4 linked regions of the Struthio camelus genome follow. The protein of the gene in region 3 purifies or fractionates together with the protein of the main gene of each other region. This does not show direct contact. Links are inferred from orthologs where the notes say so. Each region holds a gene or a part of one and is shown on either strand. Other genes may lie near its edges.

What was found. Proteins that work in one complex are often made in the same cells at the same time.
Region 1: the proteins of AP2M1 (region 3) and NECAP1 purify together in Homo sapiens (affinity purification with mass spectrometry; 3 studies listed by BioGRID and IntAct, counting the BioPlex papers as one, with this or other methods). This does not show direct contact. The link is inferred for Struthio camelus from reciprocal best matches to the Homo sapiens genes AP2M1 and NECAP1.
Region 2: the proteins of AP2M1 (region 3) and ANKRD28 purify together in Homo sapiens (affinity purification with mass spectrometry; 3 studies listed by BioGRID and IntAct, counting the BioPlex papers as one, with this or other methods). This does not show direct contact. The link is inferred for Struthio camelus from reciprocal best matches to the Homo sapiens genes AP2M1 and ANKRD28.
Region 4: the proteins of AP2M1 (region 3) and MEA1 purify together in Homo sapiens (affinity purification with mass spectrometry; 3 studies listed by BioGRID and IntAct, counting the BioPlex papers as one, with this or other methods). This does not show direct contact. The link is inferred for Struthio camelus from reciprocal best matches to the Homo sapiens genes AP2M1 and MEA1.

Annotation. Positions count from the first base shown.
Region 1 is NC_090942.1:88,542,147-88,549,937, reverse strand, and holds the start of NECAP1 (adaptin ear-binding coat-associated protein 1), read left to right. Parts: upstream 1-4,774; 5' UTR 4,775-5,032; coding exon 5,033-5,130; intron 5,131-7,185; coding exon 7,186-7,286; intron 7,287-7,436; coding exon 7,437-7,541; intron 7,542-7,791. UniProt on the Homo sapiens protein: Involved in endocytosis.
Region 2 is NC_090943.1:40,772,237-40,779,841, reverse strand, and holds the start of ANKRD28 (serine/threonine-protein phosphatase 6 regulatory ankyrin repeat subunit A), read left to right. Parts: upstream 1-4,588; 5' UTR 4,589-6,277; coding exon 6,278-6,394; intron 6,395-7,520; coding exon 7,521-7,604; intron 7,605-7,605. UniProt on the Homo sapiens protein: Regulatory subunit of protein phosphatase 6 (PP6) that may be involved in the recognition of phosphoprotein substrates. Involved in the PP6-mediated dephosphorylation of NFKBIE opposing its degradation in response to TNF-alpha.
Region 3 is NC_090950.1:22,546,489-22,553,815, forward strand, and holds the start of AP2M1 (AP-2 complex subunit mu), read left to right. Parts: upstream 1-4,313; 5' UTR 4,314-4,457; exon of another isoform or gene 4,458-4,498; intron 4,499-7,327. Other genes in the region: DVL3 (segment polarity protein dishevelled homolog DVL-3), read left to right, coding at 412-624, 932-1,356.
Region 4 is NC_090944.1:147,959,853-147,966,109, reverse strand, and holds MEA1 (male-enhanced antigen 1), read left to right. Parts: upstream 1-4,440; 5' UTR 4,441-4,474; coding exon 4,475-4,774; intron 4,775-4,858; coding exon 4,859-4,973; intron 4,974-5,052; coding exon 5,053-5,216; 3' UTR 5,217-5,740; downstream 5,741-6,257. UniProt on the Homo sapiens protein: May play an important role in spermatogenesis and/or testis development.

The sequences.
Region 1 (7,791 bases), on a different chromosome or scaffold from region 3:
AGTAGTCAGCATGGATTCACCCAAGGGAAATGATGCTTGACCAATCTGATAGCCTTCTAGGATGGAATGACTGGCTGGGTAGATGAGGGCAGAGCAGTGGATGTTGTCTCCCTGGACTTGAGCAAGGCTTTGGACACTGTCTCCCACCACATCCACCTAGGTAAGCTCAGGAAGTGTGGGCTAGATGAGTGGACAGTGAGGTGGATGGAGAACTGGCTGGATGGCTGAGCTCAGAGGGTTGCGGTCAGTGGCACAGAATCAAGTTGGAGGCCTGTAGCTAGTGGTGTCCCCCAGGGGTCAGTCCTGGGTCCAGTCTTGTTCAATATATTCCTCAATGACCTGGAGGAAGGGACAGAGTGCACCCTCAGCAAGTTGGCTGATGATACTAAACTGGGGGGAGAGGCTAACACACCAGAAGACCGTGCTGCCATTCAGAGGGAGCTGGACAGGCTGGAGAGGTGGGCAGAGAGGAACCTCCTGGAGTTCAACAAAGGCAAGTGCAAGGTCCTGCCCCTAGGGAGGAAGAACCCCAGGCAGCAGGACAGGCTGGGGGTTGACCTGCTGGAAAGTAGCTCTGCAGAGAAGGACCTGGGAGTCCTGGTGGACAACAAGTTAAACATGAGCCAGCAGTGTGCCCTTGTGGCCAAGAAGGCCAATGGTCTCCTGGGGTGCATTAGGCAGAGTGTTGCCAGCAGGTGGAGGGAGGTGATCCTGCCCCTCTCCTCAGCCCTGGGGAGGCCTCACCTGGAGTACTGTGTCCAGTTCTGGGCTCCCCAGGACAAGAGAGACATGGCACTCCTGGAGAGAGTCCAGCGGAGGGCTACCAAGATGATTAGAGGGCTGGAGCACCTCTCCTAGGAAGAAAGACTGAGAGAGCTGGGCCTGTTTCGCCTGGAGAAGAGAAGATTGAGAGGGGATCTCATCAACGTGTACAAGTATCTGCAGGGGGAGTGTCAAGAGGATGAGGCCAGCCTCTTCTCCGTGGTGCCCAGCAACAGGACAAGAGGCAACGGGCAGAAACTGAACCACAGGAAGTTCCATCTGAACCTGAGAAAAAACTTCTTCACTGTGAGGGTGACTGAGCATTGGCACAGGTTGCCCAGAGAGGTAGTGGAGTCTCCTTCGCTGGAGAAATTCAAAACCCGTCTGGATGTGATCCTGGGCAATATGCTCTAGGTGACCTTGCTTGAGCAGGGAGGTTGGACTAGATGATCTCCAGAGGTCCCTTCCAACCTAAAGGATTCTGTGATTCTGTTTGTTAGTACAAACCTGCACCAGTTACTAGTTACACTCATAGATAATTGCTCTTCAATAAATGTGATCAGGTATACTTACAAAAACCTCCCACCCTCAAGAGAATGCAGGCTGCTTCCAGAACAGTTTGGCAAGAATTGAGAATTCCACTTCCATTTTGTATTTTTACTACTTTTTCTGCAGTTCTCCAAAGCTTTACAGACCCTTTGAGACTCCCTGTTCATTTCTGAGCAGGTGGAGCCACTAGATAGCTGTCATCTTTCCCAGATGCTGAAAGTTCCCTGTGTATTTGTCAAGCTCATCTTCCTAAACAAATGTCCAAAACATTCCCTATAAAGCTTAGCCATAGCTAGCATAACTGCATCGCCAGAGAGCATGCTGTGGTGCTTTAGTGGCCAATCTTTACTATATTCTTTTTTTTCATTGTCTCTAGTATGTACTTAGTTTCATAGAGACTCACTGGCTGCTGCTGCAGTAACTCCAGGAATCAGCAAGGTTGCTCTGTATTGATATTCCTCAGTTTCTCTTCTTTAGAAAATCCCCTGGATAACCCAAAACCATTCTCGTGCACTGCTTGGTAAGTTCAGGTAGGCACAAGCCTTTTGCACATCAAGCAGGAAACAAGCTTGGCAAAACGGGTATATACATAGATCACAGAATGAAAAAGCAGCTCTTCAAAATAAAAGATCAGTACTGGAGGATGATTTGAGTCAGAATTTTTACCAGGGCATTTTCAGTGAAAGAGTCATTGTCTGAAATAGTGTTTGGATTGTTCTATGTAAACGCTTGTTTCAAGATTTTAAGTGATTCATTTTGCAAGGTGGGTTTCCCTTGTGCCTTTTATGCACAGAAGGAATATGTGCCATATGTTGTATCCATCCATTAAGATAGGCTTCATGCACATTACTGGACAATGCATTATTTTTTCTGAAACACAATCAAACCAAAGTAAAAGCTCAAATGATTCTTCTGCATGGATTATTATCAGGCTACCCACAGATCACAGAAGGATTGAGGTTGGAAGGGACCTTTAGAGATCATCTAGTCCAACCCCCCTGCTCAAGCAGGGTCACCTAGAGCACATTGCCCAGATTGTGTCCACACACTTTTGAATATCTCCAGGGATGGAGGCTCCACAACCTCTCTGGGCAACCTGTTCCAAGTGCTCAGTCACCCTCAGAGTAAAAAAGTGGTTCAGACGGAACTTCCTGTGGTTCAGTTTGTGCCAGTTGCCTCTTGTCCTGTCACTGGGCACCACTGAGAAGAGTCTGGCCCCATCCTCTTGACACCCTCCCTTCAGATACTTATACACATTGATCAGATTCCCCCTCAGTCTTGTCTTCTCCAGGCTAAACAGTCCCAGCTCTGTCAGCCTCTCCTCATGTGAGGAAAGTGTAATTCTGTGCTGTTCAATATGCTTTCTTTAAGCAACTCTGTTGCCTTCTCCTCCAAGGTTTGCCTCTCGTTAACCTCTTTTAGCTTCAGTACAGCATCAGAACCGTGCTGTCTTTTACCTTTTCTTTTATTCTGACAATCTGGCAAGCAACATAACCCTGCCATACTGTAAGCAGGGAGGCAGAGCTTTCTTTTACGTTGTGGCACCTACCTGCATTAAGTATTGGCTCCACACATTCCCATTTGCTCTTGTCCAGGCTGCCTGAAGGGTTTCAAATCTCATTGCCCAGGAAGATAGACAGATTATCTGCCTGCTCCAGTGTGCAGCCTGGCAGGGAGCAGCTTGCTTCACTCAAGTGGGGGCCTCTGCTCCCTGGAGCATCAAGATCTGCCACAGAAATCCTGTGTGCCAGCCCCTCCCTCCTGCTGTAAGGAGGCAGAACAAGCTGGCAGAGGGAAAGTTGTGTATTTGCATAATTCCATAGTAAACCAGGTCTTTTCAGGTACTCAGCTCACACCAGTCATACTTCCTTTGTGTGTATCTATTCATACAGCTGCCCACATCATTTTTTTTTTCTGAAAAATTTGGCCAGTTACATTTAGATAGGCTAGTTAAATTGTAAGTATTTTGTTTTGTTAGTTTTAATGACTCAATGACTTTAATGACTCAAGACTTCCTTTTCTGGGCTTCGCTTACCAGATCTATGGAACTAGTAGCACAAACTCCCTTTGTTTCAAATATTTTCTGTAGTGGGCACTGTCAGAGACATACTGCTGGGCTAGTTGGACCTTAGGCCTGACAGAAGGACTGCTTGTTTAGAATGCTATGGCTGAGGTTTATTACCACCCAGTTCCACTTACCCCTGGAATGAAAATGATAACAAATCTCCAAACACAGTTTCAGCTCTCACTGCATTAACTAACACTATACCATACCAGAAAAAAAATAATTCCCCAAACTCAGCGCCATTTCATTCACTTTGTTTCACCCTCAGCAATAAACTATGCTTATTCAGTGTTCCATGGATTGCTTAAATTACTTCCTAGCACAATTAGCCCATATTATGTCTGTCCCAGGCTGGGTGGACAAACGTAACTTTGTTCATAACTTGCCTTACCCCTTTTTTCCCCAGTCTTCAGGGTCAACATTCTCTAGAGTCCGCCACAAGCAACTGTACAGCGGTAGACTTCAGCACCAGCTTCCACTGGGAAGTTAGTGACTATTACAAAATAGCAGTCTAAATGCTACTAATATTTATCCTATTATATTTAATAAATAAATTAGTATTTATATACTTAGGTTAGCCAAATTTCTGGGAAGTCATACCTCTGAAATTAACCTTAAGCACACTTAACATGCACTTTCACCAGTTTTAGCTGGAAAACTTACAGTGGTTTGTGTTGCACTTTCTCTTTGGTTTGCTGTTTTACCAAGGGCCTCTTAGTCGCAGAACCACAGAGTACACAAAAAACCTTTTTCCTCTAAAATCCAACTTCCTGACCTAGGGCTGCAGAGAAGAAAAACATGAAAGAAAGAAGGCAAAGCACCCAAAACAGTACTCAGAACATTCAGAGAACTAAAAGACCTCCAAATACATGAAAGCACACAACCGAACTGCATGTTTTGACTGCTGCTGCCTGAGCAGCAGCTTTCCAGCACATGACACAACACTGTGAGCTTCTGCTTGGTGTCACTTTGGTTTGGAAGTGCTCAGTTGGTCCTGCCCTGGGCATGGGGCATGTGGGAAGCAGCTCTCACACTTCCTGGGGTGGCTCTGTTCCTGGAGAAGCTGGGCTGGCCGCTCATACACACATGCTCCGTGGGGTGAGCCCAAGAAGGCCCAGGAGGGCCATGCATCCTGCCCCGGGCCATGCCCTCAGCCAGAGCCATTAGCACCCGGGCCAGCGCAAGCGGCCCCTGCAGCCAGGGCAGCCACGCCAGCACGCGGTACGGCTTCCGGTGGCCGCCTGCTCCATTCTGCCCATTTCCAACATGGCTGCTTTTCCGCGCCACTCTAGTATCCGAGAGAAAGGGAAGTCGCCAGTATTCGGGATGGCGCTCGACACGACTTCATCAGCCCGAATCAAGTATGGCCGCGCGAAACCCTGTGGCAACTGCCAGGATCCAAGATGGCACCCATCCGTATTGCTTTGTCAGGAACGGTTTCGATATGGCCACCTCCCCTCCCCTACTCCAGCGTTTTGCTGCCACGATCCATGATGCCTTCCGCCACGCCTTTAGCGCGGCCTGATTGCAATATGGCCACACGCGCGCGCCCTTGGCAACGTCTGCCCTCAGTAAACATGGCGGTCGGAAGCGCCCCCGGCTATTAGGCTCCCCACCCGCCGTTACCTGCTGAGGTAGTTGGGGTTAATATCTGAGATGGCGGCGGCTGAGCTGGAGTATGAGTCTGTTCTGTGTGTGAAGCCTGATGTCAACGTGTACCGCATCCCGCCGCGCACCTCCAACCGCGGATACAGGTAAGGGGGGTCTGTGCTGTGCCAGGGAGCCGGGGCCGAGGTTGAGGCCGGGCGATCTGTGTTTGGGCAGGGGGCTGTGCGCTGTGCCGCGCCCCGCCGCGCTCCGCGCCGCTCCGCCGTGGCGTCATGGGGAGCACGGCTGCGCTCCGGGGCTCCCTGAGGCGGCACTGGCTGCAGGGCCGCCCTTCAGCCCCTTTCTGCGCTGCCTGAGGAGCTGGAGGGCGGCCCTGGAGCAGGTAGGCGCCTCGCTGAGGTGGGGAGAGGTGTCCTCTCCGGGGGCCGGTGGCTGGAGTAGGTGCCAGTGCCTGTGCGGCAGCGGCCCGCTTGCGCCGCGGGATGCCAGCGCCTCTTGACGGTGCCAGAACTGGGGTGGGAGAAGCGTTGCTGAGGGAAGGTGCGGGCTCCTTGTGCTCTCGCAGAGTGAAAAGGTAGTGCAGTCATGCACTGAGTTGCTATCGTTCGTTTTTGTCTTGTAACCGGGGTCTGAGCTGTGGCCTTGGGCCTCTCGGTTTTGCTTTGTGATGCCCATGCCCTGCATTGTGCTGGGCTTGCAGCCTGGATCAAGGGAGAAGTAAATTTGTAAAAATGACCTCTTCTTATTTCACGAATCTGTTCTTGTGTGTGCTCTGAGTCATACCATAGCTGCTTTCTCTGGTGGTAGATGTATTTCTTTCTCTCCCTCCCTCCCTCCCCCCACCCCACGTTGTCCCTGCAGAGCTGGTACTGCTCTGGCAGAGTGTGCTGGCTCAGGCGCTCCTGCAGAATTGCCCAGAGTCAGCACAGTCTGTTCTGTGTGAATAAACAGAGGCTTGAGAGGCGGAGGCTTCTATGTGCTAATACCTGCTGAACTGTCTGCACTCTCTTTGGCATTAAGCAAGTCAAGTAGGCTTTCTGAAGCCTTACGCACTTGCAGTTTCACAAACTTCAGCTGCAGATGATGTACTTGATGTTTCTGATAAACCTGTATCAAGTCTGATGTATATTCTCTGTGCCTAAAACCAAGAGTGTTCTCCTCTGTGCTGTAGGGGAATGGGGAGTCTCCTTAGTTAATCTCACACAGGACATGAAGATGTAAATCACTTGCTGTGCTTTTTCTAGTCAGAAATAACTTCTGCCCTCAATTATATTTGCTCTGCTCCCCGAGGCACAAACGTGATGTGGTATAACAAAAAGTTAAATTTGGCCCACTGGCTTTTGGAGCAGTGGGGGTGGAAGCCAGAAAAAGCTGATTGTGACTCTGGCGGGGCTAGAAGTTAGTTAGAAATACCTTCTCTGTCTTTAGCCAAAACCAGCAGAACATGACTTTGTGAGCTACTTCCACAGAGTTCTTGGAGTGACTGGTTTATGCTCTGAAACACTAATGGTGTCAGGAGCACTTGCTTTGTCTTGCTGAACTGTTGCTGCTGTCGATGGTATTCCTGGCCACAAATGTTCAGTTCTGAGTGTAGAATGCTGTAGGATTGACTCTTTCCTCCCCTTCCCCCAACGTTTTGTAGCAAAGAGTTTGATGGGCCAAATAAGATTGTGTGTATGCTTGTGTGTGTGGTGCCTTACATAGAGTAAACAAGCTGCCTCTAGTTTTAGAAGTACTCATTATTTTACCCCATTGTTGTAAAAAGTATCAAGTGTCTTTTCAGCATGCTGTAAATTTTTTAGGCCTTCCTGATGCTCACTAGTTGCTTATTAGTCCTTTTTAGGTTTACTATCCCAACTGAGTTCTAGGGTTTCAGTCTCTCCTCTTCTGCAAGTTTATAAAAGTAAAGACAGGGAGTTGATGTTCTCTGGACTGTATCTATTTTCCTTTACCCGAAGGAAAGAAAGGCCATCCTGAGCCTCGTATGTAGACTGGTAGTGACAGAGAGGAGCTGAGACCCTCAGTGAGGAGTTAACCCCACAATGGAGAGGAGCAGACTCCCGAACTTAGTGGGAAGAGAGAGAAGCGGAATGAGGCAACTTCATGTGATGAAGGTTTGGGAGCAGGGGCTTTAGCTGAGCTGGTTGGGCAGAAATGTAAATATTGAGGAACTGTCAGTGAAGAGTTGCTCTTTTTTTCAGGGCTTCTGACTGGAAACTGGACCATCCGGATTGGACAGGGCGACTTCGTGTGACCTCCAAAGGCAAAACCGCATACATAAAACTAGAGGATAAGGTTTCAGGTAAGGGAAGGGGTGTGGCTTGTCAACACTATAACTGTGGTTGCTACTTAGGAGCCTGTGCTTCTAAGCCAGCTCAGAGCTGTGCGTGGCAGCCCCAATCATCTTTTAGAAAGAGGTTGCTCTTGTTAACGCCTGATTCTTTGCCTATAGGGGAGCTTTTTGCTCAGGCTCCCATAGACCAATACCCTGGCATTGCAGTGGAGACGGTGACAGATTCCAGCCGCTATTTTGTCATTCGGATTCAGAATGGAACTGGTGAGTCAAGGAGTCATGCATGGCCCAAGTGCTGGGGGTGGAAGAGAGTTAACCTGCTGAAGCTGAGTGTAGGCCAGGTGGATTGAGATGATGTTGGGAGTGCTGAAAAGGTTGGATAATGTGCCTGGAGGGGTAGGAAGGCAAGATCAGCAGAGGAGGCTTCTCTACATTGCACAGAGTCCAGAGGCTGAGAAGGAGGATTCAGTTTTGGAGAGTGCCACGTGGGATGAAGGGTGCATCCTATAGGCTA
Region 2 (7,605 bases), on a different chromosome or scaffold from region 3:
TGCCTCATAGGACAAGTTGCTGTACTCCATATTTTGGATGTCAAAGGTGTTTTTAAAAAAACTGTTGACTTGTTTTGTGTTATGGTGGTTGTAAAATGCTGTAGATCACTGGAGAAGTTCTCTCCATGCATATTGCTCAATGTATAATATATGCAAAAAGCCTTAAATAGAAACTTGCTAGATTGCTATTTCTGAAGTGTTTTTAAAAATGTTAAGGTTTGATTAAAAATGTACAAAAGAAGTTTATATCTCAAACACAAACATGCATTTTGCACTGGTACTTTTTTTTAATACTGCTTCAGTACAGAAAGGTTAGAATGAATGCCTTCTTTTTTTTTTGTGGTATTTGTATCTCAGATTTTATTGAGATGCCTATTCAGTTACTGGATTTTATTAACCACAGTTTCATGTAATCACATGTTTTGTTTGAATTAATATAGTTCTGTAGATTGTTTCAGTCTATGTACACACGTGAGAGAATAAGAACTAAAATTCATCTCTCCCCCCCTCCCACCCCCCACCTTAGACTTATGGTATCCGTGAGTTCTCTAGGTCGGATAGAGTCAAGCGAAGCTATTTTGCTTGTCCTTGGAAGCAAAAGATACAGTGGAGAGAGCAAAGGTTAAGACTAATCTCTCTCTCACACTTTTTTTCTTTCCTGTATCCCAGCTGTGCATATGATCTGGAATAAATAGAGCAAAACTGGGATAAAGGTATAATTTATTATTGCCTTAAACATGTGGAGTCTCCTTCCCTGGAGATATTCAAAACCCGCCTGGATGTGATTCTGGGCAATGTGCTCTAGCGGACCCTGCTTGAGCAGGGGGGTTGGACTAGATGATCTCCAGAGGTCCCTTCCAACCTCAACCATTCTGTGATTCTCTGATTCCATGATTCCTCTTCCTGACTCCACCTCGTTCCCTCAGGACCAGAGAGGAAAGAGCAGGAGGAGTTCACAAGAGTGAGTCACAAGGCTTCTGGAAGTATTGTAGCTTATATTCATGATGATGCTGAACACTGAACACTGTCCCTGTATGGGACGTGTATATATGGGTAAAACTTCAGTAAATTTACAGAAAAATCTGATTATCCTGGGACATAACCTAACTATTATAAACGATCTTTGTGTTACAGGTTGATCCATAGCTTGGGTCTTTGTCTTGCATGGCTGCGAAACTGTTAAATTTTTTTTTGGTAAGCTTTGCTCAGTTTTAAATGCTTCATTTTTACTGGAACCTAACAGCAGAATTTGCTTCTTTTCCTAGATCCCTGATTATGCAAAATATTGAATGAAACTAGTTGCATTAATCTCAGCCCAGAAAAGACTTTGTAAAAGCTGATTGGCAAGAGAGAAATCTTCATTCGAGTAGGATCATTGATATTGAATGTGCCTCAGTGAGGTTTTCAGTGTCACTGGCAGTCTTGCTTCCGTCCTCTGCTCATCAGTTCCTGACGAAACGGATAGATCTCTAGAAAATGTTACTATTTTTAGCTCCTAAAAAGTTTCTGTTCTTTCTCTCTGTTACTGGACATGCTGCCATCATCCATGTTTTAACCTGTAGGTTGCACTCTTCTGATGTATTCTCTTTATTGTCACCCACAAAAGTCACTTGGAATTTGATTTATTTAAAGACAAGATATTTTTATTTGCAAAAAGCAGTTTGGTCAACACAAGCTGTTTTTCACAAATATACATTCTCACTTTTGTCTGCTTAAAAATTCTCTTTATTCGGTGTCTCGTTGTTGTCCTCTTTAGAATTTGAGAGTTAAGTGTGGAGATCTTGTTTTGTTAACAGTTCACTATTGCAGGGACTCAGTTAGATCACCCCAATAGAAATGATATTCCATTACTAAAGTTAGGCCACTCTTGACTCATCTTTCCTACTACTCCTTTAAGAAGCTTTTTAATATCAGATATGTAGAATTTAATCTGGAAAGGCCTTTGAAGGCTTTATAGATGATAGATGCTGATGACCAGCTGATCTTCAGTTGTTTTAAATGTTACTAAGATAAACTGAAAAGTATGTTTCGAGAGATGCAGTATTCTGTCTTCATAACTTTGTGAGGCTCTGTCATTTAAAAAATTAGTTTGGGAAGAGGGTACTTCAGTTAATTCTCCTGAACGTAGATTGCCTTCCTTCTCTGCTGCTATTATCTTTTCTCCCTCACTGAAAGTTATTAGTTCTCAGATAATCTGCTGGAAAAACAGAAACCTTAGTTTGCTTTCCTTCAGTGAAATTGTGAACGTAAGCTTTTGGCTTTCAGAGTAGCTATTAACAGCTTGTATTTTGCAAATCAAAGGAGACCTTGGACTGTTTTTTGAAGTTGAAAAAAAGAGATGATTAGAGACAATATGACAATATTTTTATTGACTTGAAGACACTACTTTCAATTGGGGGTGGGGAGGGAAGAAGATTGTTCTTTTAAGCATGCAAAATAACCTGGTTTAGTATGCAGTAGGTCAGTAAATTTAGGTGTTCACTCCCAAACCATATTGTATATTTTAAGAGTATTAAAATAGCAAGCACGAGTTAATTGTAAGTTAAAAAGTTCAATGTTTCTAAAATTAGATTGTCCTTTGGGTGTGAAAGTAATTAAATGGCACACTTGTAGTGTGAGTAATTTTTTTTTTTTTTTAATGTCTTCTACTAACATACATGGTTCAGAATGCTATCAAGGTCAATATAATATTGATTTAATTGTGCTAGCTCTCTTTTTAATGTAAGCTGTGGCATACTGGCTTTTAACACTTTTTGCCTATAGAAATGTGACCATTTAAAAATGTAACATACAAGATTGAAGATGTCAACTTGCTTATGGAAATAGTTTATATGTATTTTATTTATAGGTAAGATATCTAGAATAATAATTGGAGTAGATTCAGATGTTCTTAACTCTTCACACTTATTTCACTGTGAAAATTCAGAAGTTCTGTAATTTTTAAATGTATTTCGATCATGAATTGCAAGGATCAAAAATGGACAAGTTTCAGATATGTGAAATTAAACTAAACTGAGCATTATGTAACTAGACTTGTTGCTATGTAATGCTAATTCAAAGTAAAGTCTGGAACTCTTAATGTTTGCTTGCTGTATAAACTTACTGGCTCTGAAAAAGTGCTCATTTCTACTTAACATATGGACTCCGCTAGACTACCATTATCTAACTAACGTACGTGTGTGTGTATATACAAAGATAGCGTGAAAAACATGTTTACACTTTGTAAGTCTACTTTGCTTATAGACTTAAGATGTGATTATTTTTTTTCATAATAATGTTTAGTTATGCAAGTGAACAAGAGTGTCAATTCCTTAGGGTGTTTTTCACAAATAAAAAAAACTAAAAATTCTCTATGGATTGTGGTTGCTGTGTTCCTTTGCACGCAGTAGGATGGTGCAGTAGATGCGCCTGGAGGATGTCCTGGTTTTTATTTAAATTAATTGTACTTTTATTGCGACCAGGAAGGACGTTTAGAGGTACTCATATGAACGTATCATTTCTTTTTAATAAATTGTTGAAGTGCCAGAATAATGCAGTGTAGGGTACCAACCATTGCTTTTTCTTAATTAAGACCAAAAGTATGAAATTATAAAACAACCGGACTCTATATATATATATAGTGATGAATGAGGTACATTCATGAAGATGTGTGTTACTCACATGCTGTAAATCGGAGCATTTGGGAAAGCTGAACCTTACCAGAAGTTTCACAGTGAAACCGAAGCTTGTGCTGCGTTCTGCCAGGCCAGCGACCCTAAGCTCAGGCAGTCTTAGGCTACGTAATATAGGGTTTTTGTAAGTGCAAAAGTGTTATCTGCAGGAAGTGTCAGTAGTTGTTTTTTTTTTTTTTTTTAAAAGAATGTATTATGTTGCAGTGAAGCTATTGCAGACATTATTTTAAAATAGAGGTGATGTGAGCTTTTCCTTTCACTGGGCCTCCAAAGATGGGAATTCAGTTTGTCTATTAATATCCAAGCCATTTAATATACCCTTTAAGTCTTTCTCTCTGCCTGGATGAATATGTGAAACTTGAGTGAGAGTGTTTTGTGGAAGAGTTATAAAATTCTTCAACTTGTTCACCATTGACAAATTATGCTCCTATCAGCTGCTAAAGGACGTTAGCAGAAGTACCTCCACGCTGCGCAGGATGAACAAGAAGCCCTCCCTCTGTTCATGTAACGCTGAAGCATTTCCAGCAACTCTGACAGGATTCATTTACATAATACACCCACAAACCAGCACTGTTTAAGTAGATTCAAGCTGAAATATGTATTCAGCAAGTTGTAGGACTTTATTTTATTCAAATTATACTTGATGTAATTCTTCTTTCAGGCTGAGGGTCTGTTGGTGTCTACTAGTTGCAACAAAACATGGGTTTGGTCATTAATGACTAGCTTTTAATAGTCAACTGATTACTTTTAAGAGAGATTTTACTTTCATTTCATTTTCAGAAGACTTCTGTGGGGAGTTTCTTGTCTTCAAGGAGTTAAGCAAGGATTGTTTTGCTGCTCCGGCCAGTGCCATATGAAAGCAGTTAAAATGCTGGAATTGTTTACCGCCTAAATTGTTGTTAGTCAGCAGAGCCAGTACACCAGATTTCTTTGTGGCTTTTAGTGGAAAATATTAAACAGTCGCTCTTTCTTCAGTTATAGAATTTTTACGTTTTGAGATGAATTAGTCACGGAACTGGCACAAACATTGCCTCTGCAGAGACTGCCCAAAGGGCGCTTTTTTGTTTCTTTTTTTTTCTTTTTCCCTGGAGGAAGTTGCATTGCGCGCGGTAGCTCAGTTCTCGGGTAAGTGTGACATGTGAGCATTACTAGGCGTTTCATCCTGCGAGCCTGCAGTCTGTGCGCTGTCGGCTCCTGCTCAGTTGGAAAGCTGCTGTGGCTGTGGCTTGTGCTCCGCTCCTCCGGTCTCCTAATGACCGATTCAGACAGGCTTTTTTTCTTCTTCTTCTTAAGCTTTGCAAGACTTATCTGCTGATCACATCATTTAATCTGTCAAGGAAAAATTGATAAGCGGAACCTTTAACTGAAGAGGAGAATCAGGTTGGCACAGTGACAGATGTTTGAATAAAGAAGTTGGCTCAGAGAAGATGCACGGAGTCTGATTTTTTTTTTTTTCCTCCTTCCTTTTTTTTTTCCTCTTTCCCTCCTTCCTCTCCCCCTCAATCTGAATGAAGACTATCATGGGAACTGTATTCACATGGTGATCAAAAGAAACACTTGAGTGATGAACTGCTTTTGCAGAAGTCGTCTCAGGCAGTAATCTGAGCTTTTGTGCCGTGGTAGCTAGCTTGTTTTGCTGAAGCGTTCGTTCTGCCTAACGCAGTCCCTGATGGAGAAGCCACAGCTCTTGCCTGCTGAAGGAGAACCGAACACTCTGCGTTGCTTGTGTCACTGATGGAGTAAAGCTGTCTTCGTGGCTGTCATTTGGGGAATCTGGATTAAACAGGCAATGTTATTCAAGGAGTTCCATTGTCCCTGTGGTCTGACTCATCGCATGTAAATGTGCTGCAGCCGTGCTGTACATTGCAGATATTTTTATTGCATGGGAAAGAATTATCATCCTCTGACCATGTTCTGAATAAGTGCTGAGAAGCAGATGCGTTTTTCAGATGGACTGTTTTTGACATTGACAACTGAAGCTGTAGAATTACAGGGTGACTAGAACCGGTGTTATTTTCAGTCACCAGCAAGGCGGCTGCTGTTCATTTGTCAGTGACCTTGCAGGCTCGGGTCTAGCTGCGGCCGTCCCCGTCAGGGCAATTGTTCCCTGCTGCAGGCTGCACAGGCTGGTGTCACGCCGCCCGCAACAATGGCTGCACTGTGCGCCTAACGCTGCGCCGCTCAAGTGGCGGCATTAGCAAAGACAAATTTGCTGGTGAAAGGACAGCTATTTGAGGCGGTGCATTCTGTTCCGATTGAATTGGATCTGGAGATATTTTTATCAGCTTGTTCCACAGTTTCACTGTTGCGGTCTTGATGCGGAGTGAAATTTTATTTAAAAAAAAAAAAAAGAACAACTTTTTTTTTTTAACCATTGTCATGAACGTCTCAGGGTGTTTAAATCTGAACAATGAAGTGCAAGGACGGACTGGAGTGTTCTTTTTTAAATGTTAATACACCGGCAGTAGCACTTGCAAGTTTGTGAGGGTACGTGAAAGAGGTGAAAGTATTTCCTGTATGCTCCGTGTTGTGCTACCGACAGTGGGCTTCCAGAAATATAGTTGCCGGCATTTTTTCGTTTGCTTTTCCTTCCTCAAACGGATCGAATGAGTCGAGTCTGTATTGTTGTTTTGGAGGAGGTGGAAGATGATTCTCCCACGTTTATTTCCAAAATACCTCAGGAAAATATATCTTTACGCCCGTCGCCCTCTGGAAACGCGCTGGTAAGGCATGTCGTCTGTTGGCATATTTCCTGTTCATGCTGCGGTTGCAAGTGCCACTAGTAATTGTCATAAGGCTGACATGAATACGCCTGATGTTGAAACCAGAGGGGAGAGGGTAAAAACTGCCCACGCTGAACAGTGGGGGAAAAGTTGAAGCTTAGTTGTAGAATTAATATTTGCAGGGGCTCCTTCCTTTGCATGTGACTTTACTTGTGGTGCAGCAATAACAAATCTCAACTCCTGCATAGTAGCAAACGATTTCTAGAGGGCCTGGTAAAACTGTGGCTGAAGTAAATGTTTCTCCCCTCACTTCTCTCCCCGTTCCTCAATGGTGTATTTGTGCAGTACCAGTTTAGAAACTGAGGTAATCGTTATATCGCCATCATTTGTTGTGTTTATTTTGAGAACTGATACAGTAGATTGTGTACATGAAGCAACAGCAGTTATAAGCTAAAATGAAAAAAGGGCAGAGGTCATCATATAGACCTAACTTAGATTCAGGTTGTTGCTTCCTAGACACGGTCGACACTGTGGGTGCAGCGCCTTTAATTTCTTTAAATGATTTTACTTTGTCAAGTGCCTGACTAAAATCGTGCGAGCGTATCTCAGCAGCTTTTCTTACTTACTAAGAAATCCTACTATATTTAGTAATACGTGTGTGTGAGTGTGAATTTGTTACCATACTTATCTGATATCAGCACTTTGCTTTCTTACTCTGTAACCAAACAGGTGAAAATTTCTAATAACTTTAGTCACTTGCTAACGTAAAAGGGATTTGTTTACATATATTTTATAGAATCCACAGTACGTGTTAACAAGCTCACTTTATTTTAAGCCTTAATTGTATTATAAGGATTTCTCTTTTCAGCCCTTATAGCTAGCGTTCCAGCCTTTCTGTGGTTGGGGCAATGACCTGAGTATGTTGGTGTGTTGGAGGTTTTTAAAACTTGGAAATCTTTCAGTTCGGTTGTTTCTCATTTTTCATTTCACTGCCTGGGATGTTCTCTTTTGTCCTTGTTTGGTGTTTGTGTGTTATGTATCCAAAAACCATGCATGTGTCGACACAAAGTAAAATGGAATTATACTCTAAGATGTGTTCCTTTTTTTTTTTTCTTCTTCCTTTCAGCCACCTTTGGTTCAAGCTATATTTAATGGAGATCCTGATGAAGTTCGAGCACTAATATTTAAGAAAGAAGATGTTAATTTTCAGG
Region 3 (7,327 bases):
GCAGTCTTTTTGCCTGGGCAGCCAAAGTAGAGTCTTAGCCTTTTCTGACTGTACTTGGCTCCAGGCTCTGAGCTTTCACTGCTGGCAAGGGAGCGGTGCTCTTGACAGCTAGGTTCTGCTCAAATGAGAAGGATGGATGAGACTAATTGGCAAGGCAAGCTCTAGCTCTGATGTGGTCCTTTCCCTCTGAGCTTGTTTCTGTCTCGGAGTGACAGCTCCGAGTCTCGCAGCCTGGATGCTGTCCCTGCGGGAGGCACACGTGGCTGTACTGCTTAACAGGGAGGGTGCCAGCTTCTCTTACCTCCTTGTGTACCGCATCGCTGCCTGTCGACAAGGGTGGACATGATGCTGTTTCATCACACGTGGCTATCTTTCCACTCGGATTAACCCCTGTTCTCTACTTTCCTGCAGACATGGCTAACCTGTCTCTTCATGATCATGATGGCTCCAGCGGTGCCTCCGATCAGGACACTTTGGCTCCGCTCCCACACCCGGGAGCCGCACCCTGGCCTATGGCTTTCCCATATCAGTATCCACCACCTCATCCATACAACCCCCACCCCGGCTTCCCTGACCCAGGCTACAGCTATGGAGGGGGCAGTGCAGGCAGCCAGCACAGTGAAGGTGAGTGAAAGGGACCCACATGTGCCTGTAGAGCTGAGCAGGTGCCCTGTTCACTTGGGGGAAGCTGCGGGAACAGGCTAGTCCCTTAGGCAAGGCTGTATGCATGGGGGAGCCAGATCAAAGCCTTCATTCAGAGGAATCCCACAGGGGTTATGGGATTAGAGTTGAACGGAGAGTGAGACCATGGACTGTGCAGTCTGGTAGCTGTGCTGCAGTGTGTTGTAGTCCTGTCTTGGTGGGGAGCAGAGGATTCTTTCTTCCTGGTTTATCTGATGTGTTGCCTAACCTTGCCCCGTGTGTTTTGCAGGGAGCCGGAGCAGTGGTTCCAATCGCAGCGGCAGCGAGAGGAGGAAGGAGAGAGAGAAGACTGGAGAGTCCAAGTCAGGTGGCAGCGGGAGCGAGTCGGACCACACCACCCGGAGCAGCATGCGGCGTGAGCGTGCGGCCAGTGAGCGCTCGGTGCCTGCCAGCCAGCACAGCCAGCGCAGCCAGCACTCCCTGGCTCACAGTATCCGCAGCCACCACAGCCAGCAGTCATATGGGCCGCCTGGCCTCCCCCCTCTCTTCAGCCCCCCCATGTTGCTGATGCCTCCACCGCCTTCAGCCATGGGGCCCCCCGGGGCACCGCCGGGCCGTGACCTGGCCTCTGTGCCCCCAGAACTGACAGCCAGTAGACAGTCCTTCCGAATGGCCATGGGCAACCCCAGTGAGTTCTTTGTGGATGTAATGTGAAGCGCCCGTCCCCTGTCTGTCTGCTGCCCCTCCTTCCCCCTTCCATCCCCAGTCGTTTGTCTCCTAGGACCAGCCCCAGCTTCACCCCTTGTTTTTATGGGTCTTTTTTTTTTTTTTTGGTCTTGATAACTAAAAGAAAAAAAAGGGAAAAAAATAAATGGAACTAAACCTTGATTCTAATCCCTCCTCGAGCGGGGTGGAGGGGCCTGGCAGGCCTGCTGAGCTCTGCCAGCCCATCCTGCCACCAGACTTGTGTATTGCCGATGGTAATTCCCTCCTGCCGTCCTCTCTAACCCCATTAATCTGCATCCATCCCAGCGCCCTGTGCTGCTTGCCCGTGTGTTGCTGCTGCCGCAGTCCTTCTGCCCTAAACATCTCTTCTTTCTTTTCACCCTTTTGTGTTTCTTCTATCAAGCAGCAAAGAATTACGGGGTGTTTGACTTTCTCTGAGCCTGCCGCCCGCAGGGGGGAGAGCTGGAGCGTGGCGTGGCCCGACAGGAGGACACGGAGCTCCAAGGGCGCTGGGCACGCATGGTGCTGAAGATGTCTTCTTTTCTCCCCCTAGCGGAAGACTCCCTGCCCTTTCCGCAGCACTGAGAGGGGAGCAGCGCCCAGCTCTGGCCTTATATGTGTTTAAATCCAAGTGTAATTGCCTTTTGGCTAATGCATGAATGTTCCAGGGCTTCACTGCCTCTAGGGAGTGGAGGGATGGTGCCACTTTCCCTTAGCCTCCCTCCCCTTGCCGCTCCTTGGGCCAAATCTGAGCCTGGCGCTACCCTATGGCAGAACCCTCCTGCCTGCTTCCCTGACAGCGAGACTTGAGATTGGGTCCGTTCCTCCGGCATCCGACCCTGACTGGCGCTGGGTACCTAAACATGTCCGGTCGAGGCCTGGGGGGGTGTGTGGTGTGCACGGGTGTGAATGTAAGGGCAGAGCTCTGCTTGCTCTGCCAAAGGGGGTGCAGAGGCCCAGGCGTTGCCCTCCTGCCTAGCACACCCTGCTGCCTGTCTCCTGTGTAGGGGCTGCCCCTCGCCTGGGGCCAGTGTCTGCAGCTGGGGCCTTCCCCCTCCTGCTCTGCTGCGCTTCCCTTCAGCAATGTAACATCTCCCACAGTCAATGCTGATGTGTGGGTGGCCTGGACAGAGCTAGAGGGTGAGGGAGGGGCACTTCTGGTCCGCTTTCATTCTTTTGGGGAAAGCGGAGATCTCCTGTGTTCGCTGGCCAGCCGCACCCTCTGCTCCCCCGGGATGAGCTCTGCTGGCCTGTCGAGGGGAGGGAAGGGGCTCTGGGCCCAGAAAGCTGCAGAGCTGGGCCTGCCCCGCTCCAGCCTAGATGCAAATGGCTCCCTAAAGAGACGCAAACCCTCCTGTGAATTAAGGACTGTGGTGTTGAATGCAGGGCCCTGGGCTCAGTGCCCACAGAGGATTGCGATGGCAATTGAGTCCGTTTGCTCTGATGCTCCCTTCTGTTTTTTCCTCCTCTTTGGGGTGTGTGGAGCCTTTCTTCCACTCTACAAGAGTGGTGTGGGAAGGAGATGTGCCTTGGGTTAGGGGGTGGGGGGCGGCCTCCTCCTCAGAGCCTGGGGCTGAGCACGGTACGGTAGGGATGCATTGGACCCTGCTCCCGTTGGTCTTGGCGCCCTCTCATATTGCTGACCATGGCTTTCTCTGCAACAGTGTTGCCTCCTTCAGCCTTTCTTTCTTATGTTTGAATTTTTTATATTTTGGAGATGAAATGTATTTTGCTCCTCTGGGGTCTGCGTTGTGCCTGCACCCCCTCTGCCAGCTCCTGTGTGCCACCAGTTCATCTCCCTATGACTCCCTAAGCCTCTCCTCTTCCTGTGCCTGCTGGTGCCAATTTGCCCAGTCTCTGCCATCTTCCTGTCCCCTGATCTTGGTGCTGGCAAGCTGCTGCTTGTCCCTTCTCCTGCCTTTCGTAATGCCACCCAGCAGCCTCCCCTGACCACTGCTCACTGCCCTGCCCTGCCCTGCCCTGCCCTGCCCTCTGGGTTTTATAAAAACAAAACCAGTCTCCTTGTTTTTATTTATAAACATAGTTTTATTGGACTCCTGCCTCGTGTTGTTTTTTTTTCAGCACCCTCTTCTTTTCTATGCTCCTGTGTTTTGCTCGGCAGCAAGCTCTGGGCATCGAGGGGCTGTCCTGGGCCTGAGCCTCTCTGTTTTCTAACAGAGCTATTCTTCCTGGGCTATTGAGACCTGCCATGACTTAACCTCGGCCTGTCCCAGCCTCCTCCTGCTGCTGCTTTCTGGTGCAAGAGCTGATTGATCACAGCATTAGAAGATGAAAAATTATTCATTGGGCCTGTAAGGCAAAGATATTTGCGGTGCATGCGTTGGGGGGTGGGGGGATGACTGGGGCCTGGGCAGCTCTGGAAGTGGGCTCTGCCTGGCTGCCCGTGGCACGATGAGATGAGGGGGAGAGGGTGGCAGAGGGCGAGCTGCCCCAGGAGCACCTGCACATATGGCCTGTGAGGGGGGATGGCGCGGGTGGGTGATGGGAAAGCAGCAGTGCCTGTGGCTGGGCACGGCAGCTGGGGGCCTGGCCGAGTGCACCCACCTTTCCCCACGGGCTGTGTCCCACGGGTATCCCCAGCCCCCTGCGGATCAGGGAATTGAGGGCTGCTGGGGACAGTGGGCTGAGGGCCCTGCTCGCACGGACCATGCCGAGGGGCAGGGGATGCCCCGTGCTTCGAGCCCCCCCCCCGGGCCGGGGGGGCTGCTGCTGGGCCTGCGCAACTCCACGCGTGGGTGTGTCAGCTCTGCTACCTCCCGGAACTACAACTCCCAGCTCGCACCGCGCCATAGGACTACAACTCCCAGCGCGCGCCGCGCCGCAGGACCACAACTCCCAGCATACTCAGCGGCCCCCCCCACCCCCCCCGCGCGCCGAGCGACTCGGCGGGATGCGGAGCACAGTCCCCGCCCTGCCTCCCCGCGGAGGCGCATGCGCAACTGCGGCGGGGCGCGGGCGGGGCATGCGCGGCGGCGGCTCTGCAGTGATAGGGGGGGCGCGGAGGGAAGGGGGGGGTGGCGGCCGCCATCTTGGGTAGTGAGCAGCGAGCGGCGAGCGGGCGGCGGCAGGTGAGGCGCCGCCGCGCGGTCCTTCTTCCTCCACGCCGGAGGTGCGTGTCCCGCTTCTCCCGCGGGGCGGCTTCCCGGGGCGGTGGGGCTCGTCTCTTCCTCGGGGCCGAGCCGCCCTGGGTGGTGGTTCCCTCAGTACCCGCCGGGGGCGGGGGTCTGCGGGCCTCCCCCGGCGGGCGCGGCGTGGCACTGACAGGCCTAGGGGGGTCTTGTCAGGGCGAGGCCCCCCGACGGCTGCCCTTGGGGGGGGCCGGCAGCGTCTCCGGGCCGCCCCGGGGTCCCGCCTGGAGCCGGCGGGGCGGCGAGGGAGGGAAGCGGGCTCTCCCTGGAGAGCTGCTCCTCAGCCCGCTGCGAGCGGCTGCCGGGCCTCCTCCCGGGGTGGCCCCCAGCCTCGCCGCTGGCTGGAGCTGGCTAGCATCTATTCGCGTGTTGCTTTGGGGGGGAGGTGGTTGTTAGCCGCCTGTGTTAATTAATGCTCTGTCCGGAACACCCGTCGTGGCGGCTTCGTGTCCGCGGTGCTGCTGAAGACCGGGTGAGGGTGGTGGTGGCAGAGGCAAGACCTGAGCGGTGCAGGGTGTTGGGGAAAGGTCTGCACCGCTGTGCTGGGTCACCCCGAGCAAAGGTCTTGCGGTCGGATTAGGCAGGAACTTCCCCTAAAATGACTTATCTGTACTCCTGATATGAACATGAATTAGCTAGGTCGTGGACTGCACCCTCTAGCTTCCTTTCTGGAGAACCTGCTGAGGCAGACTATAGCTCTGCTGATGCTGAACTGTCCTTGTTCTGAGGTTTGAAATGGGCCCTTATCCCACAGCTCTTCTAAATGCATTTCCACTTCCTTTCTTCCATGGTCTAGGTTTTTGGAGTCTGTAAGGCTACAGGAAATGCAGCCTTTGTACAATGTAGTTGACTTCTCACTAGGAAATGAGTCTTGTTTGATCTGGTCTTCTCTCTATAAACTGTAAATTTTGAAGTTCTGGTTTTTTTCCTTGCTTTAGGATGACAAAGCTGCTGTCAACTTCTAGCCTCAGGCTGCCAAAAATCTGAGCCTGGAGCTTTCCCAGATAGGTGAGCCTGGATGGCTTCTGCTGTGGCTCAGAAGTTGAGATATTATGGATTTCTAATTGAATATAGGTTCCTGTAGTGGTGTTTTGTTAGGTAGTGTTCTCTTGAATGCTGTGAGGACCATAGTTACTATTCTGTTCAGTAGCAAATGACAGACTTGTCCCCGTCAGTTTTGCTTGCAGGGACAGTATCTCATCTGGTGAGATGCTGCCAAACTGCCTACTTCCATATTTTTTCTGTCAGAAGGAAAGCATTGCTTTTGTTGGGAACGCCATGTTACTGACATCTAGTGACAAGGATACCTGGTGTTCTTTGGGTTGCAAGCTTGCCATCTTTGTCTCCAAGAAGAGAACCTGTTTCCGATACCCTTGAAGGGTATCATGACTAAATTCTCCCTTTCAAGAGAGCACATTTCCAGCCTTCTAAGAATTGAGTCTTGAGGCTGTGAAGGGTTGAATCTTGAATTCTTTGAAACACAGATGACTGGAAGTGCGCTCTGCTGATTGGATGAGTTTCTAATCTTTTTGATGGGATGGGAATAGTCACTGAACAAAACATGCTTTATATAAAAATTTCTTGTGACCCTACTTAAACTTAGCTTTAGGTCTTCTTGATGCAGGGATGAGACAAAACTTTCTTGTGCAACACAAAGTGTCTTGCATTAGTGTTCTAAGCTTATACTACTGAAGACTGCTAGTGCGTGTTAAAAATGTTCTTGGGGTTAGCTGAAGGACAGACAGAAGTACAGCCCAGGGTGCCAAAATGTAATAGGTCTGTATAGTACAGCCTGCTTCTTTCCTTTAGTAGATGACTAGAGTCACAGAATGGCCGAGGTTGGGAGGGACCTTGGGAGATCATCTAGTCCAACCCCCTTGCTCAAGCAGGGTCCTCTAGAGCACGTCGCACAGGATTGCGTCCAGGCGGGTTTTGAATATCTCCAGAGAAGGAGACCCCCCACAACCTCTCTGGGCGACCTGTTCCAGTGCTCAGTCACCCTCACAGGAAAGAAGTTTGTCCTCAGATTCAGATGGAACCTGCTGTGTTCCAGTTTGTGCCCGTTGCCTCTTGTCCTGTCACGGGCACCCCTGGAAAGGGTTTGGCCCCATCTTCTTCACACCCTCCCTTTAGATACTTGTACACATTGATGAGCTCCCCCCTCAGTTTTCTCTTCTCCAGGCTGAGCAGGCCCAGCTCTCTCAGCCTTTCCTCATAGGAAAGGTGCTCCAGTCTTCTAGTCATTTTCGTAGCCCTCTGCTGGACTCTCTCCAGTAGCGCCATGTCTAGTACTGGGGGGCCCGGAATTGGACACAGTACTCCGGGTGCGGCCTCACCAAGGCTGAGTAGAGGGGGAGGATCACCTCCCTCGACCTGCTGGCAACGCTCTTCCTAAACGCGGCCCAGGATGCCATCGGCCCTCCTGGCCACAAGGACACATTGCTGGCTCACAGTCCACTTGTTGTCCACCAGGACTCCCAGGTCCTTCTCTGCAGAGCTGCTTTTCAGCAGAGTCAAAAATTACTGGCAAGCCACGCTTTATTTTGATCTCAGCAGGAGGTTGGCAGCTTAGCTGAAAGCTTGCAGCCTGAGGCACGGGATATGAAATGCAGTTATCTGTTCCAAAGTCATAGCAGAAAGAGATATACTGGCAAGTTGGGGTATCTAGGCCGTTAGTGGTCTGCAGAATACAAGCTCTTATTCAAACCGCAGTCCGTGTCTCTAACCTTTTCTGTTGAAGACGAATAGAATGCAAGTCACTGTTCAGAGCTGTAGCTCAAGAGTGAGCAGTTCGGCAGTTGCTTCAGACT
Region 4 (6,257 bases), on a different chromosome or scaffold from region 3:
CGTATAGCCTTAATGAGGTCAACCGAGACGCCAGCTCGAGCTCCTGTTTGTCATACTGTAGGAAACAACGTTTACACTGTAGCAACAATGTCACAATGTTGTTTGCTACAATTATATTCTTACACAAGGCCTAACTTACTCAGAAAGCTTTTTCCAGAGATGACCAACCTTGAAAGCAAAACAGTTTTATAGACACCGAGGTGGCGGCGGGGTTGGTCATGTTATTTAGGTTAGTGATTACACTTCAAATATACCACCTTCATAATAAACAGGAAGATTGATCAGGATACTTTTTACTGTGATTCAACAGACCCAGGGTAGGTCCAAAAAAACTCATCTGCTTTATAAAAAATAAAATAATCAGAAGTCAAACATGTGAAGTGATGTTTACAGGTTCGTATGTTAAAGAACGAAAGAAGAAGATTCAACCAGCTGCCGTGAAAAGTTTCTTTCTTCAAACCCCAGTGCTTTCTCCTCTAGGAACTGCATTGCCACTAAGAGCAGTTTTATAAAAATAGCCAGCTAGACTCCATTTGCTGCTTCTGCCACTGGCCACAACCCTACCCTGAAATTGTCACTATGCCCTCCTGCCTTTGCCAAGTGCCTGGGACGCTTGTCCTTCCCTTCTCGGTCATGCCCAGGTTCACCTCTTCTCCTCCTTGCTCACCCCACGGTCACGGTCCCACCAAGACCCTCCACTCCTCCTCTGCATCCCACTCGCTGCTTCTTTCATGCTCCTCTAACCTCAGCCTCTCTCCTACCCTGCCTTGTCTCAAATCGTTCATTAGAGCCGTCTCCTCTCCCAAACTCATTTTTTCCTCCTGTGATTCCACAGGGATTCATAAATTCCTCCACACTACCTGCAAGCATGAGTTAAGCACGTTTTTGGAGAAAACTGTTTACTTCCTGCCCTACAACTCCACATGTAGTTAAATTCCATTTCAGGAATTTGGGTCCCAATATTAATTTCTAGGATCTAAATGAAGACATATCTATGCCCTTTCCAACCCGTTTTCCGTGCAGTCTTCCTAACAGGAGGCACCAATACACTTCCTGTAAGCCAGCAGGCCTTAGTGTCCTTCAGCTTCAAAGATCATCTAGGGAGCAGTCTGCAGATGGGGGGGGGGGAGGGGGACAGTAAAAACAACATCCAACAGTTTTCATTAAATGAACTATATATTAAGTTTTGCAAAACACGTTCTGCGATTTCTCACTTCAGCCTCTGGCGACAGAGATCTAGGCTATAAAACACAGGAGCGTTGACGAGAGAGATTGCGTTAGAGAACTGAAGAGGGCATCGGCTGCAGGAGGCAATAAGCCTCACAGCTGAGGTGAGCCAGGCACTTTTCCACCCTGCACCACAAACCACAGAGAAGTAGAGCTGACATTCAAGGTGGATCAAAGGAAGCGCTTTCACATAGTAGAGAAATTAAGCTTGAATCGTTTAAGTCACAGAAGCTCTCGCTAAAGCCAAGACCTGGTGGGATAAGAGGAGAACTATCTTTTACAGGGATTCTCACAGATCCTGAGCTACTCGTACGTCCCTGCAGTGAACCCTGCTGAGCACGCTTCTCCCCGTGCACCTGCACGCACACACGGAGCTGCCTTTCCTTCCGAACAGCTCTCACAGCAGTTAAAGGTCCAAGGTCCTCCTGCGACGAACTGAGCCTGCCCAGCTGCAACTGCCCCCCAAAGCCCCCGCGAACTACGGCAACATACCTGCAGGGAGGCTGAGCAGCTCCATCAAAATAAGCACAGGTTTCTTACAGGGTGGGAAACAAGATTTTTCTAGAATAAGCAAAACCAAAGAAACCATGCTCACACATGTTCTGTCAATTGGGCGTTCCCTCTCTCACCGTAAATCAGGAACCTTTGGCTGATTCTTCTCCCATTCTGAGCAGGGAGAAGAGAGGGCAACGCATCGAGCACGCGCACCACGCACAGACACGCGGGGGCTCGGGCACAGAAGGCACGGGCTTCTGCTTGAGCCACCGCTTGCTTTCACCGAGGCGCTTATTGCCTCTTCACGTCTCCAAAGCCTATCAGATCTTCTCATTTCATTCTGACTCTGGCAGACAGCAACCGCACGATAGTCGCGCTCTCCCTTCCAGTGGTTTCACATGCATCTGCCCAGCAGGGAACGCAGAGACGTTCAGGTTGAAACCCTGCAGGTCCTGGCGCTAGTTGCCAGCGGTAAGAACGTTTTTAAAAGGAGGTTACACCTCACCTACCGTGGCAGAGTCTGTCCTCTGAAGTGCCTGATGCTGACCACGGCTGGAAAACACAGGGCGCAGCCATGAGTTGTTTCTGTACCACTGAGCGCAGGGAAGTCAAATCAAAAGTGCTCAAAACAATTTGCTATGATCTCACAGAAACGCACAAAGCCCTCCATCTACTGTGCACGGTATCACAAGGCCAGGTCCAGGCTTTCTGGGTAAGCAGTGCCACAGCAACCATGCTGTGACCACCAACTGGCTCTGTCAATTGCTGTCAACCGCACTTCTGCGGTCAGACGCAGCACCTAACCGCCAGCAGAAGCCCCCCAGCCTGCGAGCAGGGAAACAGCCGTGGATGTCTTCCAACGCTTCCCTTGTTCCTCATCAGTGCTGGCACCCAGCAAAAGGAACACAGCAATTTGCCCAGGACATTTCACTGCTAAGGAAAAGGACAACTAGATTTTAAGACAGCTCTATGTTCTTCAAATACAGCACTTACAAAGAGCATCTCCCAAATTTCTGGCTGTCATGTTGCCTGAAGCCGCAGATACAACCTTCAAACTGTCCCAGCTTGCACCTCGCAAGAGTCTACAGATACAGCATACAGTTGCCTAGAACAACTAGAAAAATCATTCAATAATTTTCCACAAGAACACCTTCCAAACCTGTTGTGGTCACTGGAGCAAAAGGGGGGTGGTGGGGGGAAAGGAAGAAAAACAGTAGTTAGAGATCTCTGACTGAAAAAAACCTTTTTTTTTTTTTTTTTTAAGCTGTTCTGCCTATTCACTTTAGACCATTTTCAAGCCTTAGAATTAACTACCAAAACATTTCAAGATAGGAGGCTATCAACAAGCTTCAGGTACTGTCGACAGACCACGATCTTAGAACATACACTCCTGGACTCTCTTCTTTGGGCGCACTGGGCTGGCTCGCTCTTCTACCCCTAGAAGGGGACACTTCAGTCATTTCTAAAAGCTATTCCCGTTAGCCCTGCTGCAGGGAACTCAGTCAGCTCCCGGAGCAGGAGAGAGAAACCCCGCAGGAAGCAGCCGGGATTTTCCCGGGCTGCGCCTTTGTCGCCCCCAGAATCACCGCACCACCCCAAGCAGAGGAGCCTTCTGCCTCTGCAGAAGTTGCGCAGGAGAGCAAATCCCTACCGTGCGGTTGCCTCGGTCCTCCGTCCCCCAAAAGGTGCCAGCCACAAGGCTTAGTAACACTTAAAATAGCCCAGCCAGCTCACAGCAGGCCACACAGACGGTTCTATTTCAAGCACACCCAACCTGCTGCTCGAGATAGCATGAGAACAACGCGATTTCTTCGCTCGTGCTTGACATTTGCCTGATGCTTTGGCTATTTATGCCAAGGCAGGACGAAACTGCAAGCTTGCACGTTCAGCAGCTCGGGCGCTCGCGATGTAGAATTGCGGCGGCGGGACAAGCAGACCGGGCCGGAGGAGCCGCGGAAGCTGGTTCGCGCGGGCGGGTCCCGTTTCGGGCCCCGGGCACCCCGGAGCCTCGAGCGGCAGCTGGTGCGGCCTCCTCCTCGCCCGAAGGCCGGCTCGGGTCCGGCCCCCGCGGACCGGCCCCTCCGTCCCGGCCGCCGCAGCGGGCAGAGCCGCGCCCCGCCGGGCGCCCGCCACGGGCCCCTCCAGCCCCGGGGGGCGCCGGGGGGGGGCACCTCGCCGCCCGCCCGCGCTGCGCCCCAGGGGGCTGGAAACCCCCCGCGGGGCAGCTCAGCCCGCCGGGGCGCCGCGCCGACATGTCCCCGGGCCGGGCGGGCGCCGCCGCCGCCGCCTCAGGGCCGCGGAGGAGGAGGAGGAGGAGGAGGAGGAGGAGGAAGAGGAGGAGGAGGAGGAGGAGGCCGCCGCCGCCGCCCGCCCGCCCGGCGCGGAGCCCCCGCCGCCCCGGAGCCCGGTACCTGGCGGCGGGAAGGCGGCTCGGCAGCCCGCTCCAACCGCCGCGCCCGCCCGCCGCACCCTGGGACTTGTAGTGCGGAGCCGCCCCAACCGCCGCCCGCCCCGCCCCGGCCCGCCCCGCCCCGGCCCGGCCCGGCCCTCGCCGGCCGCCGCCCCGCGTCCTTCCCCCACCCCTCCCGGGGCGCCGTGAGCCTCCTGGCGGCCCCGGCCCGCGGGGTCCTGCTGCGCCGCGCTGCCGCCGCGGAAACGGGCGGCGGCCGACATGGCGGCGGCGGCGGGACTACAACCCCCACAATGCCCCGCGGCGGGGCGGGGCTTCCGGGGGGCGGGGCCTCGCTGGCGGATGGCGCTGGCGCGCAGCATGGGGCCGGAGCGGGTCTGCCCCGAGGAGCCGGGGCCGCCCGAGGCCCCCGACGGCGCGGCCGGCTGGAGCGGCGACGACGAGGACGACGAGGACGAGCAGGAGCAGGAGCAGGAGGAGGAGGAGGAGGAGGAGGAGGGCGGCGGCGGCGGCGGCTACTTGTACCAGCCGCTGAGGCAGGACGCGGAGCAGGGCCCCGGCGAGCAGGGCCCGGCCGCCGCCCCGGCCGCCTGCGCCGAGCCGGGCCCCGGCCCCGCTCCGGGCCTCCGGGAGCGGCTGCAGGTAACGGCGCGGAGGGCGCGGGGCCGCGCGGGCCGCGGCGGCGCCGGGGCCGCGGCCTCCCCGCTGTCTCCCTCCGCGCTGCAGATGCTGAGGCTGCACCTGCCCGACCCCCCCGCGGACAGCGGCGACGAGGAGGAGGAGGAGGAGGAGGAAGGCGCCGCGGCGCGGAGCAGCCGCAGCTCCATCCCCATGGACCCAGGTAGCGGCGGCGCCCCCCGGCCCCCTTGGCGGCGGGGCCCGGCCGCCCGGCTCCCCCCCTCACGCCCCTCTGTCCCCAGAGCACGTGGAGCTGGTGAAGAGGACCATGGCCAGCGTGAAGCTGCCCAGCCTGGGCGTCCCCGCGTGGGCCAGCGAGATCTCCGAGGAGCAGTGGAAGGACGTGGTGCAGCGCACGCTGCAGGCCCGGCAGAGCCTCGGCACCCCCAGGCCCGAGTGGAAGTGACGCCCGAGCCGGGGGCTGGGGCTGCTCGCCTGCGCCCTCCCCTCGGTCACGCGTGCGAGGCGGGCGACCGGTGCGACGCGCCGGCACTGACCTTCCCCTTGCTCCCACTGCCGTTGTCCAACCTCCCTTCCTGCTCCTCTTTCCAGGTTCTGGCTGGCGTGTGAGTCGCTGTGGTGTCCTTGTGTTGGCTTCCTGGTCCTCCACCTCGGAGGAACTAGACTGGTTTCCCTACCGGCCTACGTGCGTGGAGAGAGGGGGTTCGACTGGCTTCACCCAGGTTGATGCGGGACAAACACCGGCTTTGCCCTCGTGCTGTCAGTGCTGGAGAAGTCCCCCGCGCTCAGGCCCCTCCTAGCAGGATAAGCAGCTGTGTTTTCACGTAGCAGAGGTGGAGTCCAGTGTGTCTTTCCAAGAGATTGGTTTTATTTACTTCTGTACATACAGGGACATCTGTACAAAAATCCAACACTTTCATACTATGTAATGCTCTACTGAAAATAAAGTACACCATATGTACATATGAACTGTAAGCAGCTTAATACTTGTGTCCAGGGGGTGAATGCAGTAGTTTTGCTTGTTCCCTCAGGAGGAGGGAGCCGTGTGACGTGGAAGAGGCAGCTCCAGTTCTGTCCGTTTGGCTGATGTGGGGAAAGGCATAGGCAGAAATGAGCACTAATGCTAGAAACCGAGTGTGGAGCAAGGGACAGCCATAGCGTAGCAGACACAGGTCTGCACACGAGCAGTACGTGTGACAGAGAGGGTTAACACGCTCCCCCTCCTTCTCTCATGGTCCCCTTCTTAGATGTCCAGGACACTGGAATGAATAGGCAGCAAACTAACGGTAATGTTAAGGTACTAAGCGTAAGTTCCCTGACCCAGAACAATACACACAAAGCTATGAGAACATCCAAGCTGTACAGCATGTAGTTGTGATGCATTACAATCCTGCCCCTGTGCATGGCACAATCTCACCATTATTCCTCTGGATGTGGCAGGGGACTGCAGGTGGAGACAGACCATCTGAAGGACAGCAACAACCTC